Linked DNA regions of Schizosaccharomyces pombe. The protein of the gene in region 1 purifies or fractionates together with the protein of each later gene. This does not show direct contact. Each region holds a gene or a part of one and is shown on either strand. Other genes may lie near its edges. The genes, in order: dsk1, prp19 and sum3.

Evidence for each region.
Region 2: the proteins of dsk1 (region 1) and prp19 purify together in Schizosaccharomyces pombe (affinity purification with mass spectrometry; 2 studies listed by BioGRID). This does not show direct contact.
Region 3: the proteins of dsk1 (region 1) and sum3 purify together in Schizosaccharomyces pombe (affinity purification with mass spectrometry, with the first as the bait; one study listed by BioGRID). This does not show direct contact.

Annotation. Positions count from the first base shown.
Region 1 is NC_003423.3:824,142-829,874, reverse strand, and holds dsk1 (SR protein-specific kinase Dsk1), read left to right. Parts: upstream 1-1,942; 5' UTR 1,943-2,061; coding exon 2,062-3,696; 3' UTR 3,697-4,127; coding exon of another isoform or gene 4,128-4,630; 3' UTR 4,631-4,686; coding exon of another isoform or gene 4,687-4,810; 3' UTR 4,811-4,875; coding exon of another isoform or gene 4,876-5,001; 3' UTR 5,002-5,070; downstream 5,071-5,733. Other genes in the region: SPOM_SPBC530.15C (spermidine family transporter), read left to right, coding at 1-784; lsc1 (Lsk1 associated cyclin), read right to left, coding at 4,128-4,630, 4,687-4,810, 4,876-5,001, 5,215-5,296, 5,341-5,501. UniProt on the Schizosaccharomyces pombe protein: May play an important role in mitotic control by altering cellular location, degree of phosphorylation and kinase activity. Abundant expression accelerates the exit when cells are in M-phase and also delays the entry into mitosis when cells are in G2.
Region 2 is NC_003424.3:5,130,836-5,135,842, forward strand, and holds prp19 (Prp19 complex subunit, ubiquitin-protein ligase E4 Prp19), read left to right. Parts: upstream 1-2,387; 5' UTR 2,388-2,406; coding exon 2,407-2,464; exon of another isoform or gene 2,465-2,504; coding exon 2,505-2,609; intron 2,610-2,948; exon of another isoform or gene 2,949-3,094; coding exon 3,095-4,398; 3' UTR 4,399-4,507; downstream 4,508-5,007. Other genes in the region: RNA polymerase I upstream activation factor complex subunit Rrn5, read right to left, coding at 1-890; rRNA exonuclease Rrp17, read right to left, coding at 1,405-1,806, 1,854-1,959, 2,000-2,103; srb6 (mediator complex subunit Med22), read right to left, coding at 4,588-4,998. UniProt on the Schizosaccharomyces pombe protein: Probable ubiquitin-protein ligase involved in pre-mRNA splicing. May also function in DNA repair.
Region 3 is NC_003421.2:973,349-978,678, reverse strand, and holds sum3 (translation initiation RNA helicase Sum3), read left to right. Parts: upstream 1-1,965; 5' UTR 1,966-2,007; coding exon 2,008-3,918; 3' UTR 3,919-4,680; downstream 4,681-5,330. Other genes in the region: yapsin Yps1, read left to right, coding at 1-66; protein SVP26, read right to left, coding at 555-1,238. UniProt on the Schizosaccharomyces pombe protein: ATP-binding RNA helicase involved in translation initiation. Remodels RNA in response to ADP and ATP concentrations by facilitating disruption, but also formation of RNA duplexes. Inactivation of ded1 blocks mitotic cell cycle progression at G1 and G2/M.

The DNA.
Region 1 (5,733 bases):
CCGCACAATTACAGAGATACGAGCGTCCAAGGTGAGAGTACTTACTGGGAACTATTGCTTACATGCCAAATCAGAAGAAGAGCCCTTGGAATTCTCATACTTTTTCCACAAATACTTCACATTTCCTCTCCGTCTTTTAATATTTGAGCCCATATTACTTGTGGTTTCAACTTATACCGCTTTCGTATATGGTATCCTTTATGGATTACTTGAAGCATACCCAGTTATTTTTGGGGAGAGTCGAAAATGGAGGTTGGGTGTTGAATCTCTTCCGTATTTGGCTATTTTTGTTGGTGTTTGTATTGGATGCTCTAGCGTTGCCCTGTTCCAGCCCTACTATTTTAAAAAGATGGATGAAAATAAAGGAAGACCTGTTCCTGAAGCACGACTTCCCTCCATGATGATCGGTTGCATTGTCTTTCCCATTGGCATCTTTTGGCTTGCTTGGACTGGTAATTATCCATGGATTCATTGGATTGTTCCAACTTTGGCAGGTAGTTTTATTGGCTTTGGAATCATTACAATTTTTCAACAAACAATCAATTATATCATTGATTGTTATAGTGGATGTTCTGCTTCTGCAATCGCGGCCAATACATTACTTAGAAGTTCGTTTGGCGCGGCATTTCCTCTTTTTACAACCCAAATGTTCAATAATTTGGGAATTGGTTGGGCTGGTTCTCTGGTCGGATTTGTTGCAGTTGGGCTTATTCCAGTTCCTTTTATGTTGTTTTTATATGGGCCGAAATTACGACAAATGAGCAAGCACTGTCTAAAGGATTAATTCGTCATAGAAGTCCGCTTTTTAGTTGATTTGCTTGACCCTCTCTTTTCCAGTTTTTGTTTTTCTTATTTCTGTTATATTCATCTTTTTTATTCAGAAACCATGCCCGCGGTTTGTTGCCTTGGGTTAATGGCCTCAGCATTTACTTGTTGTTATTGTTATTTTCGTTAATTTAACCAGTTTGCTGCCGTTTAGATATTTAGAAACGATGGACTTTGTTTTAAATGATCTCTATTACCCGCTGCCTCTTTCTTTTGTCTTTTTGTGACTTCTTTAATAATTCATCATCCTCAATGATTACTTTTGTTGATCTCCGTTTCCTTTATGTTTCTGATCATCACAAAAAAAGTACCTTTCAAATAGACATTTATATTTATTGGTTGGTTATGAACCTTACATATGATTTCCGTTTACCATAATACATTGCTAAGACCTCAACAAAAATAACTGTTAGCACAGGCCATACTTGTCAATTTATTATATCCCGTTTTTATCAATGTAATTGAATGTTTTCGAGTCCAGGTCTTGCCCGTAGAATCACGGTTAGTGTGAGTAGGTAGTAGATCTCGGGCCGTAGGTGTGAATGCCGTAAAGCTAGAACATTATCTGAGAATTTTCATTTTAAGAACGCCGTATGTTGAGAGAGAAAACAGATCTTAAATATCCCTCTTTTCAACGACTCAAGAATTGTTTACATTTTTTCTAGCTATCCTGTCGAGATCTAAGAGCTGAATGGGATACAGTTATAATGGATAACGATATAAATTTGGAAGACCTTAACACATCTTATGGAATTCTAACGGCTGGGCTACTTCGGTAAAAGTAGTTAGTAAGGGATAGCGATGGGATGAAAGCGCAGGGGGTTCATATTCTATCAACTGCTGATATTTTTAGTGATGCCTTAGTCATTGGTATTCATATATACGGATTTTTAAGTAGTATTATTAAAATATTTATGGTACAGTAACGGAGTGTAAAGGTGGCTTCTCCTACTGGCGTAAAATAATTAGTAAACCATTTTCCCATTTTTTGTTATTTACTATATCGAAACGCTCTTCCTAATGCGCAAAGTTTCCTCGGTAGTGTGCTAAGACTCCACGGTGTTTCCCCGTGTTGATTTTCGCACTAAAAATACTACTCCATACCGTATTTATAACCAGAACAAACAACAACAACAACGAAGGAATTGGTGTATTCACATATCTCAGATATTTTAATTTAAGAGCTGGAGGGACATATCAGTAGTTTCTTCATACGGGGCAGCCAGCCATTTTGAAATGGGAAGTGACGGGTCGAGTTTGTCACCGAAAGTGTCACAACCGGGACACACTGAAATAGTTGACCATGTCAGTGAAAAGGTGATCACGAATGGAAAAAATGTTAATAAAAAGGTCAATGCTGAAGTAGACGGAAAAAGCATGGTGGAAAAGGTAAAAACGCACGAAGAAAATGCAGAGGACTATCACTATGGTGGATACCACCCAGTCTACATTGGTGAAGAATTTCATCACCGTCGATATGTCGTTGAAAGAAAATTAGGCTGGGGACATTTTTCAACGGTTTGGCTTGCATATGATCGAGCTGCCAAACGGAGAGTAGCTTTGAAGGTGGTGCGTTCAGCAGAGCACTATCGAGAGACCTCAATTGATGAAATTCGCATTTTGCAGAAAATTAGAGAAGGGGACGAAAAGCATTTGGGCAAAAAGCATATCATTTCTTTGCTCGATTATTTTGTGCATCGTGGTCCTAATGGAGCTCATGTCTGTATGGTATTCGAAGTTCTCGGTGAGAATCTTTTAAGTTTGATACAGTCATACGGCCATCGAGGAGTACCTGTGGGTATTGTAAAGCAAATTGCCTACCAATTACTCATCGCTCTGGATTACTTGCATCGAGAATGCGGGATCATTCATACTGATCTTAAACCCGAAAATGTTTTAATATGCATTGATCAGGATGCCTTGCAACATATTGAGGCACCTGCAACAACTTCCTCCCCCACTTCTAATACCTCTTCTTCAAAAACAAGAAATAACACTGGTTATACAGCCAAAGCTCCAATTATTAAACGTGGCCAATCTGTAGATAACTCTGCCCAAGAACGCAAGACATTTGCAAAAAATCCAACTAAGAATTCTAAGCCTGCTGGCCAGGTCATTCCTAGCAGTCCTTTTACTTCCACTTTGAGCCGCTTTCCTTCATTAGAAGGTGCTGTTTCAGAAATCAGCCTTCGTGACTCTCAAAAGCATAATTCTCATCCTAATTCTCCGTTTTCTAGTGGAGATAATTCTCTTATACTTGATGGTGTTAACGGTTCTCAGGAACCCGTTCCAAAAATCACTGTTAAAATTGCCGATCTCGGTAACGCGTGCTGGACACGGAAGCATTTCACCAACGATGTGCAAACCCGTCAGTATAGGTCTCCAGAAGTAATTCTAGGATGTCGCTGGGGAGCTTCCGCTGATTGCTGGAGTTTTGCCTGTATCATTTTTGAATTGCTAACCGGCGATTACCTTTTCGATCCACGGAATGGGAATTCTTATTCTAAGGAGGATGACCACATTGCCCAAATTATTGAGTTATTGGTTAATTATCCTAAGCAAATGGCACTTTCAGGAAAGCACTCCCGCGATTTATTTAACCGTCGCGGTGAACTCCGAAATATTCATAAATTGAAGTTTTGGCCTTTAAAAGATGTTTTGGAGCAAAAATACCATTTTTCAGCCGAGTTGGCTCAACAAATATCAGACTTTTTATCTCCTATGTTATGTTTTGATCCTGCCAAGCGAACCAATGCTGGTTACATGAGCAATTCTCCATGGTTGCGCGAAGTGGCTGATCCTACGTTCAAAATCGAGACTACTGGAGCAACCGGTGAAGATGTACCCGGATGGGCTACTGAAATTCGTTAGTGTTTACCTTGATATTGGTTTTGAAGCGCTAGTAAATGATTTTTTTTTATATATAGTTTTTTTTTGCGATATCGTCCCTTTTTTAATTTCCCACCATTAGCGTGATTGCTTTAAAAAAGCATGACACCTTTCACTCTGAAATGGGTTACGTATGATTATCACGATTCCTTCTTTTGATCAACATTTACTGCACTGAAATTTGAACGAAATTTCCTTTTACTTAATGAATATTTAAGATATAGCAGGGTTTAGGTCAGCTGCTTTTTAAATCATATTATGTTTAGAAAACGCATAAAATAAAGTTTTGTCATTCAAAAGGAAGTTAATTGGAAATTGGTAACTTGTAATGTCACATATTAATATACTGTTCAGAATGCTGTCGAAAGAAGGAACAAACCGATGGTAAGATAACTCATTAAGGAACCATTAGATTAAACCGTACCTTTATTTCTCCTTTCTTCCAGCATTCGTTTTTCAAATTCGGTATTAAAATACTTTCTATCGCAGTCTAAAATAAATCTGGCACAACTTTCTTTGGATTCTTGAAGTCTCTTATTTGACTCACGGTATTCATCTGCTAAAGAAGAAGAATGAGGGTCAATTTGGGGTGGTTTTTGAGGACGGCCAGAGTTTTTTTGGGCTCGTTGGAAGTCAACACATAATCCAAGTAATTTTTCCGTTGTATACATATTACCAATGCAAGTGTGAGGCTGATAATGCATATATAGATCGAGTATATCCGCAATCACTGCTTCCGTTAGTGCTGGTGGAGCGAAGAACGATCTGGGAATTATAGGTTGAGGAAGTTGCTGTAACTTGCAAGCAATAGAAATCGATGCGACGGCAACAATATGGGCTGGATATTTTAACATTGTGTATGTTTTATAAGCATCAGTGCAGACATTCCAAGCTATACTTGCCGTGGAAGATGAAACTGAAAGTAAATTAGTTAACTCGAAAATTATAAGGTAAAATGAATAGCAGTCATACATTTCAGTGATTTTGCAAATTTTACCATGTAATTGTGTGGATGTCGGACTCGAAAATCGAAACAAATCAATTCCAGTGTCATTCTTTCTAAACCTAGAATCCTCTTCTTGTTCTCTTCGATTAGCTAATACACCTGTAAGCAAGTCTCCTTATAAACAAAAAACAATTATTGCGCACCTTGTAACATACTTGTGAATGAGCATCGACCTCAGAACCTGGATGCTTTTGAAGATAATGTGCTAAAAGAATATCACGAAACTTTTTGGCCGTATCTTCGATTTTACTAGCAACTACTAAGCAAGCAGTAGCGCACTCCTAAATGTGTTAGTTATTTTTGAAAGAAAAAGAGCCTAAATCAAGAGAATATGATGTTTATAACTTGGAGTAGCTGAGCTAACATTATTAAAAACTGTAGTCTTTTTTAATAGTATGACCAATGTACAGCATTCAGAATATTCTTATATCAGAATACGTAAAATTTCAAATAGCACAGCATACTCATGTGCGAAAGACATCCAAATAACATACCAGCAAAGGAATTTCATTCACGGGAAAAAATAGTTGGAAACGACTGTATAAAAGCATTGCAAGGCCGCTGGTCCTTACAGGGCTAAAAAAAAGTTAGATTCTAGATAATTTTGAGGAAAAGCATACAATTTTAAAGTTTTTGAAAGTGTTGATATCCAAGCGAACGCCTGCATTCGCAAATTATTTTCTTTGGGATCTCGCGTCGACAAAATTCGACTTATTTCTTTTTCTGAATAGTATGGGTGTGACATTCGTATTGAAAGTACATGATTCTCATTTTCTGCCATTTTAGCAGCTAAAATGGTGCTGGGTTTGTGAAGGCCTGGCTTTACCTGCAAGGTGCAAGTATGCTGAAGTTAAGCGATTCCTTTTAAGTAACGCATTTTATCATGTTGTATACTGTAAATCAATTAAAATAAAATAATTTTAATTCAGCAATTGCAGCTCGAAATTATCATGGAAATGTTCGCAGTTATTGAATTTGTAAATTATGACAGTCCTGCGTGCTATTGTAAAAGA
Region 2 (5,007 bases), on another chromosome or scaffold:
TTCATCTTTTGTCTAGTGGGTAAATACTTCCAAAATCCGGGTATATTGAATCGGTGAAATCGTAAAAATTTGCCTGACAGAACAACGTCTCTATTCTTGATAATAGGTTTTCTATGAAAGGCATTGTTAGCCTCTAGTTTCCTAAACCTAGACTCCGCCAAAAATATAGATGTTCCGATTAATTCCTTCAACTTGCTTTTAATGATTTGTAATAAAAACTCCGTAGCGCCAGCAGAAAGTGGATTGCTTGGAAAAGGCGCTTGTCGATCGAAATGATAAAACCGTTCAGAAATCTTTCTCATCTCATTTGTATCAAATAAATCCTCATTTGAGGTTTTGTTTTTGACACTTTGCGCATTATAGTGTGAAGTTTCAACCCCTGAGATATTCGAACCCTCAAGAAGTCTTTCCGCAATTTTTTCTTCCCAATCAATCCAATTCTGACTCATTTCCATTGCAATAGGTATATCTTCATATTTCAACAAACATTGACTGCGCACGGATGCGTCTACGTGATTACGAAGCCAACGTAGCTCATTCTCTAAGGCATTTATGTAACGCTCGATCTGCACAGCGCTTTTAGAAGGAATGGAGTAAGCTATCAAATCTAAATCTCTTTTCCCATTTCGAGCAACCGCTTGAAAAAACAGTTCTTTTTCTTCTGCACTCCAGTAAGTTCCATCCACACAAGAGCCACTAAGAACGCCCCATTGTTCTTCTTCCAAATCAAAGTCACGCTTATTTTCAGTCTCAACTTCGTATTGTTGAAGGACGTCTAGGTATCGTTCATCATGAGTCATGTACAATTGCTCACTTGAGCCAATGATAGATGCAGTGCTTAAAGGCGTTGACCCTTCACTCTCATTTAATCCGTTTATTGAAGAAGACATGTTATTATTGAGAACATGATCAACGCTAATGAAATAAAAGCTGTTGCAGTCTTCTTTTTAATATTTTTTTGTTTACCACATTACCAGACGTGGTTTGTGTTCTGACAAAGATCAAACTCGGTATTCTAGTGAATTTCGCTAATATACTAAAATCCAAAGGAATATATAAATGTAGAGTATCTCTAAAATTTACGGGTTTTAAACATAATAAAAAAATATAAATCGTGCTAAAATCTAGCTTACCGCTTATTGAGTACAAATTTTTTGCGCATGTACAAACACCTTAATCAAAACTGTGAACAAAAAATTGAAAAAGGCTGAAATGCATATATCAGACCAAGAAAAACTCCGTATATGTAATGATCTCTTGTAAAGTAGTTTGTTAACTTCCAAAAATTCTCAACCTGAAAAACGAATGGACAATTGAATTCAAATATCATTTTATACCAACCATATTCATAAATATAAAAAAAGGGCAAGATGCGTCAAACAACGTGTGCTTGAAGTTCCTAATTTAACGTCTTATTTTCTTCTTTAAACGACGTATTTTTTCTTTTCTTCTGTCCTGTGTACGTTCAAATTTGCTCTCATACCGAAATTTCTTTTTGGCGGCATTTTTAGGCTTGTGGGGACGCAAAGGAACATCTGGTGGAGGAGAAATACGAGGCGTGACAAAACCTTCTTTAGGATAAGCAATTTCTTCATCATCATCGTCCTCTACAATTTCTACCGTAACATGCTTATCATCTTCGTCATACTCAGTAGTTTTAGGCTCCATTGATGACTCTTCCTCGCTGTCAGATTTAGATGAGGAATCTTCTTGCTGTGAAGATTCTTCATCATTTTCTAGCGAGCTATTCAACTCTTTAGAGAATGCTAATCGCTCAGCCAGTTCTCTTTTGCGCTGTTCTCTGAGCTGAATAGTGTTAGTGATATACTCAAGATAGTATTAGAAAAACTTACAGATTTCCTCAACGCTAAACGTTCTTCGCGTTTTTGCTGCTCCAATTGAACTTGAGCATGCTTTCGTCGTTCAACTTTGCGTTTATGAAATCCAGTTAAATACTCTCTGTAACAAGTTAGTAGCAATCCCTTTATGATATCCATACTTTCGCTTCTCTTTATCAAAGACGATCTCCTCCAATCTTTGCTTCTTCCCTTTCTTCCTGCTGTAAATCTCACCTCCACGGGTTAGTAGAGATGTATTATCCATGATGCAACAGTTCGTGAGTAGCTAGAAGAGAGGGACAATTTATGGGAATCTGTAGTGATTTTAAGTAAATTATCTCCAATTCTATCCAGTCTCGTAATGGTCCAGTAGATTTATGAAGACGAGAGGTACTGAAACCCTACTATGCCTTGTACGTACATTTGCACTACTAACTAGAAAATTATTTGCAAAATGCATCGCATTTGCCTTATATTATATACGGATATTGGTATAGTGCAGTAAACGATTAGTTGGCTATGCATTGCTTTCCTCTAGCTATTACACACAGAAACCAACGTGTGCCGAATGTTTTGCTCAATCAGTGGAGAAACGCCAAAAGAACCGGTGATTTCTCGTGTAAGTGGTATGTTTGTACAATAATTTCCCTGTCTGACTGAATGTAGGAAATGTTTACGAGAAGCGCTTGATTGAACAAGTTATTCGTGAAACGTCTAAAGACCCTGTTACTCAACAGGAATGCACGTTGGAGGACTTGGTTCCTGTAAAGGGTAAGATTTCCTTCTTTATTATTGAATGGTTAAGAATTTCAAGTAGCACTTATTTTTTTATACGTGGAGTACTGAATATTCTGAAATTGGTTTGGAAAGTAAAACCCTGCAATATTGGTTGAAGAACTCGTTTATTTTCTTTTTTTTGTTGATAATGTATTTTATTGCATGATTGATTTGTACTCGAAATTTTTTAATTTTACAGCTTTATATTTCTCCTTAAAAAGTGGACTATTTAGTGCATGTCAATATCTCGGGGCAGAAATTAGGAAGGTTTTTAGAGAATTATAGAACAACCTTGTCGGATTTATCAAAACAAATCTTTATCAAAATTAATGTGGAGTTGTTGAGGAAAATGTATTAATACTTTAGATTTTTTTTGGTTTTTGCTCTCCAATGCGATTTATATTTACTATATTTTGATTGTACTGACCATTCACATATAAAGCGAATCAAATCGAAGATAATTGCTAACCTTTAAACAGTACCTGATTTTGTTAGACCTCGACCTCCTTCTGCCACTTCATTGCCTGCATTGCTGTCTCTCTTTCAAGAAGAATGGGATTCTGTCGCGCTTGAGCAATTTGAACTTAGAAGAAATCTTACAGAGACGAAGCAGGAGTTATCAACGGCATTGTATTCGCTAGATGCTGCGTTAAGAGTTATATCTCGGCTTACCAAAGAAAGAGACGAAGCTAGAGAAGCATTGGCGAAATTTTCCGATAACATAGGCACTGTTTCCTCGAAAACTATTGAAGTACAAGAGGTAGAGATGGGCGAAAGTGATGACCAGCTTAAAACTAGCTTACGCTCTACGGTGGAAAAAACATTTCAAGAACTTTCTTCCAAAAGGAAACGTACAAAGTTACAACCTAAATGGGCGACTGACGATGCTGTGAGTCAGCTCTTGCAAGCTACTCCTTCTACTATCTTAGAAAATTTGGAAACAGAAAGCACTACGTCTTTCTTCCCGTCCCCTGAAAATTCTTCTTTTGTATTATGTCTTCATAAGGATGAACTTTTATGTCTAGATATCCAATCCAACAGTACTCTCAAAATTTTTGAAGGATCAGCTTTAGCGTGTTGTTGGTTGACTTCTTCCAAGATTGCTGTCGCTACTGCTGATGCCATTTCAATTTTTGAATTTCCTGTTTCCTCATCTGGTTTACAAAGTGTGGGTGAACCTACTTCGTCCATTCCTATAGACGAAAAGGTGAACTTCCTTCAAGCTCATCCAAGTGGGGAATATTTATTAGCAGCATCAAACGAAAAGTGTTATATTTTCTCCCTGAAATCCCAGGTTTATAATATCACCGTTGCTCAACACATTACATCTCTTGCTGTACATCCGGACGGTAACCTCTTTGTCGCTGGGTTAGAGAATGGCGAGTTACGCTTTTTTGAGACTTCCTCGGGAAATGAGCTTACAAAATTTGGACCACATTCAAGTCCAGTTAAAACATTACAATTTGGTGAAAACGGTTATTGGCTTGTAGTAACAACTAATGATGACTCTGACATTTTCATTTGGGACTTAAGAAAATCTGAGCTTGTTCAAAAAATACCCCTACAAACCAAAGTCGCAGCAGTGTCATTAGATATTACTAGTCAACTTTTGGTAAGTTCGGATGGGGAGACTCTCTATGTACATATTTATGTCAAATCTTCAAAGTCTTGGAGATGTATGAGTCAAACCCATGTTTCCTCTATTTCTAATTTGGTTTGGTTAAATGAGTTACACCAGTTGTTGTTTAGTACTTCAAATGGAGCCATTCTCCGGTTGGGTTAACCCAATTTTTAATCCTTTAATTATGTGCTCCTCCATTAGGCTTTTCGTATTTAGTAAGATTTTGGCTCTTTAACTTAAGTGATTTCCTTCATAATGAAATATTTAGGCAAACTATTATTTTTCAGATAGATGTATCATTAAATTTTGACATTTGGTTTAATTGGCAAAAAATAATTTATGTGAGTTAACTCAAGTGTCAGAAACAGTGGGAGCCTCAGTTGTTTCTGATGCTTCTGGTTCAATTAAACTGACTTCCAGTAAATGATTTTGTAGTTTAGTAAGAGTTCTTTTAACTTTCTCAAGATCAGGCTCGCTGTAATCGACAGTCGGAAAAGACGTGGAAAGAGAATTAGTGAGCCAATATGATTTAATTTGTCGAGAAACATCCAGTAACTGTTCTACCGCGCGAACCATGGACACAGTATGGCATTCAATCTGGTAAACCTCTGGTGCTACCGTATATTTATCTTTGCCTTCATTTATAGCAATATCCAGTATGTCTTGAAACCTTGACAAAATAGTTAGTGTAGCATTGTCAATAGACGAATTTAAAGTATTAGTTCGCTGAACTAGCTGCCGTTGGAAACTGTCTGAAGACATACTAGCTTT
Region 3 (5,330 bases), on another chromosome or scaffold:
TCTCCGTTAAGTGCTATGGTCATTATGATGATGTCTGCTGTATTTTTAGGACTCGGTATTATATAGTCGATACTGATTAATTAAATGTGTATTTTATCAATTTTACAAGTGGCTAGGGTTTACTTGGATATATTTAGCTTTCTATCATGTTAATTTTTATTGATAAAATCGTTATGAACAAGACGTAAAAAACTCCGTTTCATATGAATATGAAAAGGCGTCATCTATTTCCTTTAAATGCATTTTCTACACGTCCGAGATGAAATTTAAGTCAAATTGACAATACAATTTCCATGTTGAAAAAAATAACAATAGGCAATCCTAAAGAACAACGACAAAACGTAAAAGAAGGATAATTTTGTTCGCTCAAACTGACCGAGAAAAAGTTAAAGTGTTGATGAAGAAAGTATGAAGAAAACTATATACAAAATAAAAGTCGAAAAAAAAAAGAGATGCAACATGTTGTGAGTAAATGATCACATAAGAAGTACAGACATTACAGTAAAGTTAAACGAATCCTTAATTTAAAAAGACAAGCATCCCTCAAACTCAACTCAGACGTAACGTTCACTTGAACGATCACTCAACCCCAAAGAGGTAAGACTACGTTCGACGAAGATACCTAACTTTTTATAAGCTTGTCGAAGTACATTCGACGTCCGACGAGATGATCCAGAAGAATAAGCATCAGGGGACGAGGAAGACGGGGTTGTAATGGTAGGAAGTGTATTGTCAGCAGCGGTAAAGGAAACAAAAATACCAATAGGAACAGACCATACGCATACCCCCATAAATGAAGCAACTTGTGAAAAGGAAGCACGAGAGGTCAAAAGGCGTTGACCAACAAAATCGTAAGTGAGTCCACGAGGTTTAATAGGGAATTCATGCACCTGGAAAAAGCGGACCCATAAGATATGATTCGCGACAATAAGGAAACATGCTAGCAAAAATCTCATTCTCTTAAATGAGAAGAAAGGAAAGGTATCAAAGTTGATTTTATAAATGTAATGACTGAAAATGGAGAATGCCGAGAGCCAAAAAGGAAAACCATCAAATATAACCAAAAACACCATTACCGCCATAATAAAATAAACCAACCGACATAAAAACGCCTTTGCGAGCCTAGAGTGCTCTTCTACAAACTCTGAAATGTAATACAAAGCTGATGCGATACTCACGGTCATGCCTATGAATCCCAAAACGATACCCAAGTACGACAGAGCATTAAGGACAATCATTTTGAAAAACGCTTTTAATTATGTCGTATCTAATAATCTTAACAAATGTGATTTTCTTTGGACTTCTTCAATATAGATAAATATGTTCGGATTTGTCGAATAAATACGGTTTTAATGCACAGCACCGCTTACAAAGCTTCTGCCTAAAGGTTTTAGCAATTTCTTAAGTTGCAAGGCACAATAAAAATATCAATTTCTATATTTTGTAGTATTGGTTGGTATGGGAAGACAGCAAAACCATGGCTGGTACTCCTGAATATCACTACGACCTTAAACAGAAAGCAAACTGTATGCTAATAATTGTAAATTTGAAAGTTGAATTTTCTTATTCCAATTAAAATGATTAATATGTATACTAAGTCTGCTATTTAGAGACGAGCATAACGGTGGTTTTTAGTTTTGGTGAGTGGCAATCGTGTACCTACATTACGGTGCCTAAATGTTTAGTTATATAGATTATAAATATATTTATATAGTAAAACCTTTCAATTAATTTTTATTCTTTAACGTAGTCAGATGATAGCACGTGTACTGACTTAAGGTTTCAAAAAAACTATTAATACCCATACATATTGGTATCAAAATTAACTAAAAAATAATTTTAAATTGTTTAAATGACTTTTTATCCTTGTTAAAAATTGTTTTCGTTGACATATCTAATTTGCTGAGGGGTTAAAAAGGGCAGTCCCATCGTGTATTTGGTAGCATTTAATGGCCAACTTAACCTAACCTCAACCAAACACTTCAACTCAGAAATACAAAAAATATTATGAGCGACAATGTACAGCAACAAGTAGATTCAGTTGGTTCTGTGACTGAAAAATTGCAAAAAACAAACATCAGCAGACCTAGGAAGTATATTCCTCCTTTTGCTAGGGATAAGCCAAGCGCTGGCGCAGCTCCAGCTGTTGGCGACGATGAGTCTGTCTCATCTCGTGGCTCTTCTAGGTCTCAAACTCCTAGTGAGTTTTCCTCTAACTATGGAGGTCGCCGTGAATACAATCGTGGCGGTCATTATGGTGGTGGCGAGGGCCGCCAAAATAATTACCGTGGCGGTCGTGAAGGTGGTTACAGCAACGGCGGTGGTTATCGTAACAACCGTGGATTTGGCCAATGGAGAGATGGTCAACACGTTATCGGAGCCCGTAACACTCTTTTGGAGCGTCAATTATTTGGTGCCGTTGCTGATGGTACCAAAGTTTCAACTGGTATTAACTTCGAAAAGTATGATGACATCCCTGTTGAAGTTTCCGGTGGAGATATCGAGCCTGTTAATGAGTTCACTTCTCCTCCTTTGAACTCTCATCTTCTTCAAAACATTAAACTCTCTGGCTACACTCAGCCCACCCCAGTTCAAAAGAACTCCATTCCTATTGTCACATCCGGACGTGATTTGATGGCCTGTGCCCAAACCGGTTCCGGTAAGACTGCTGGTTTCTTATTCCCTATTCTTTCTCTTGCTTTCGATAAAGGACCTGCCGCTGTTCCTGTTGATCAGGATGCCGGTATGGGTTATCGTCCTCGCAAAGCCTATCCTACCACCCTTATTTTGGCTCCCACTCGTGAATTAGTTTGTCAAATTCATGAGGAATCTCGTAAATTCTGTTACCGTTCTTGGGTGCGTCCCTGTGCTGTTTACGGTGGTGCCGATATTCGTGCTCAAATCCGCCAAATTGACCAAGGTTGCGACTTGCTTTCTGCTACTCCTGGTCGTTTGGTTGATTTAATCGATCGTGGTCGTATTTCTTTGGCCAACATTAAGTTTTTGGTGTTGGATGAAGCTGATCGTATGCTGGATATGGGTTTCGAGCCTCAAATTCGTCACATTGTGGAAGGTGCTGACATGACAAGCGTTGAAGAACGTCAAACTCTCATGTTTTCTGCCACTTTCCCCCGTGATATCCAACTTTTAGCTCGTGACTTTTTAAAGGATTATGTCTTCTTGAGTGTTGGTCGTGTCGGTTCCACTTCGGAGAATATTACTCAAAAGGTCGTACACGTTGAAGATTCTGAAAAGCGTAGTTACTTGCTTGATATTCTTCACACCTTACCTCCTGAGGGTCTTACCTTGATCTTTGTAGAGACTAAACGCATGGCTGACACACTTACCGACTATTTGTTGAATAGCAACTTCCCCGCAACAAGCATTCACGGTGACCGTACCCAACGTGAGCGTGAGCGCGCTTTGGAATTGTTCCGCTCTGGCCGTACTTCCATTATGGTCGCTACTGCCGTCGCCAGTCGTGGTTTAGATATTCCCAATGTCACGCATGTTATTAACTACGATTTACCTACTGACATTGATGACTATGTGCATAGAATTGGTCGTACCGGTCGTGCTGGTAACACTGGTCAAGCTGTTGCGTTTTTCAACCGTAACAACAAGGGTATCGCTAAGGAATTGATTGAGTTGTTGCAAGAGGCCAATCAAGAGTGCCCCAGCTTTTTGATCGCCATGGCTCGTGAAAGCAGCTTTGGTGGTAATGGACGTGGTGGCCGTTACAGTGGTCGTGGTGGTCGTGGAGGCAATGCTTATGGTGCTCGCGACTTCCGTCGCCCTACTAATAGTAGTAGTGGTTATAGCTCTGGCCCTAGCTACTCTGGATACGGTGGCTTTGAAAGCCGTACTCCTCATCATGGTAACACTTACAACAGTGGTAGTGCTCAATCCTGGTGGTAAATTTCCTAAAAAAATATTTTTATTGGGTTACGTGCATCTGTGTTATGCACAGGCTTCTGATGATTTCCTTTAGTCAGAGGCCGAAGTATTGTGTCCATTGTTTTGCTGACATTTGCAAAGCGCGAGGATGTCAGAAAGGGCGAAATATTTGGCTTTAATTAACTGTGATTGAGTGAGTTGCACGAAACGTCTTTTGTTTAGGTCCGGTTTTTTTCATTTTTAAGCTGGGCTTGGACGGATGCTCATTGGGTGTGCTTTTTAATCGTTGCGGTTGTGGAAGCGTTATGTAAAAACGATCCGGCAAAATTTAGTATGCGGTGTTGTGTTTTATTGCATAATAAGATGAGGCGAAAGTTTCAGAAGTCAATGCGTGCATGATTTATTCACGGGACTTTTTAAATAGAATATGCATATTTGAAACATTTGCATTGACGAAATGGATGTACGAATACGACGGGCATACAAAATGACATATATTATACATATTTTATATATATCTATTGATATGTTGAAAATTTCTACAGGCTTTGAGCTCATGATTTTAAAAATCAATGATGGATCTTTTTTTACGAGTCTGTGTTTCTTTTTTTCGAGAGAACTTGGAAATAGGTTAGTGTCTCTCTTTTGTTGGATTGTGGTTCTTGGGTAATATTTCTTTAGGAAAAGGTTTACGATTCTGCAATTTGTAATAATAGGATGCGCGCTAGAGCAAATTAATAAATTTTATTGCAATAATAAACTATACACATGTTATTAGGCAAATTAGTTATTAGTAAAATTAAGGAATGTAATTAGTGATATGTACAGTCAGAAATACTAGAAATATATACGAAAGATTAAGTAACGCAGCTACAATGATCACTGATACAGAAAGTATTTAAGGGTCTAGTTGGACTAGACAATTGTTTATTTATTGTGTCGCAGTAGTCACAATCAAAAGAAATAATTAAATAAAAAATTAGAAATAAATGGTGAACCACTTGGACCTATATGCTTTGACGACATACATATTAATAAGTGAGGACAATGTCAAGGGTAACTTAAGTAAATGTTGAAGAAAAATGCTTGATGATTATGTTTTTACGTTCTCAATTAAATAAGTAACTTTTCAATTAATTGAAAAACGAATATTAATGAGTAACCATGACTAGGATTAAAAGAATAAACAACCATACTTAAACTTAGTATTCAATAGATTGTTGAGATTAAAGAGAACAAAAATTAAGGAAACAGATCACAGCACAATTTCATCAAAAAATTGCAATTTTTCTTCGTTTTTCTTTATGTTTTTATATAATATAAAAAATTGATGAAAAGCAAGTAGTCCTTCTCTTTTTTTTTTTTTAAAGAAAAACCGAAAACAAATGTAGAAAAGACAAGTTAGGAAACAGGTTTGTAAAACAAGCAAGCTA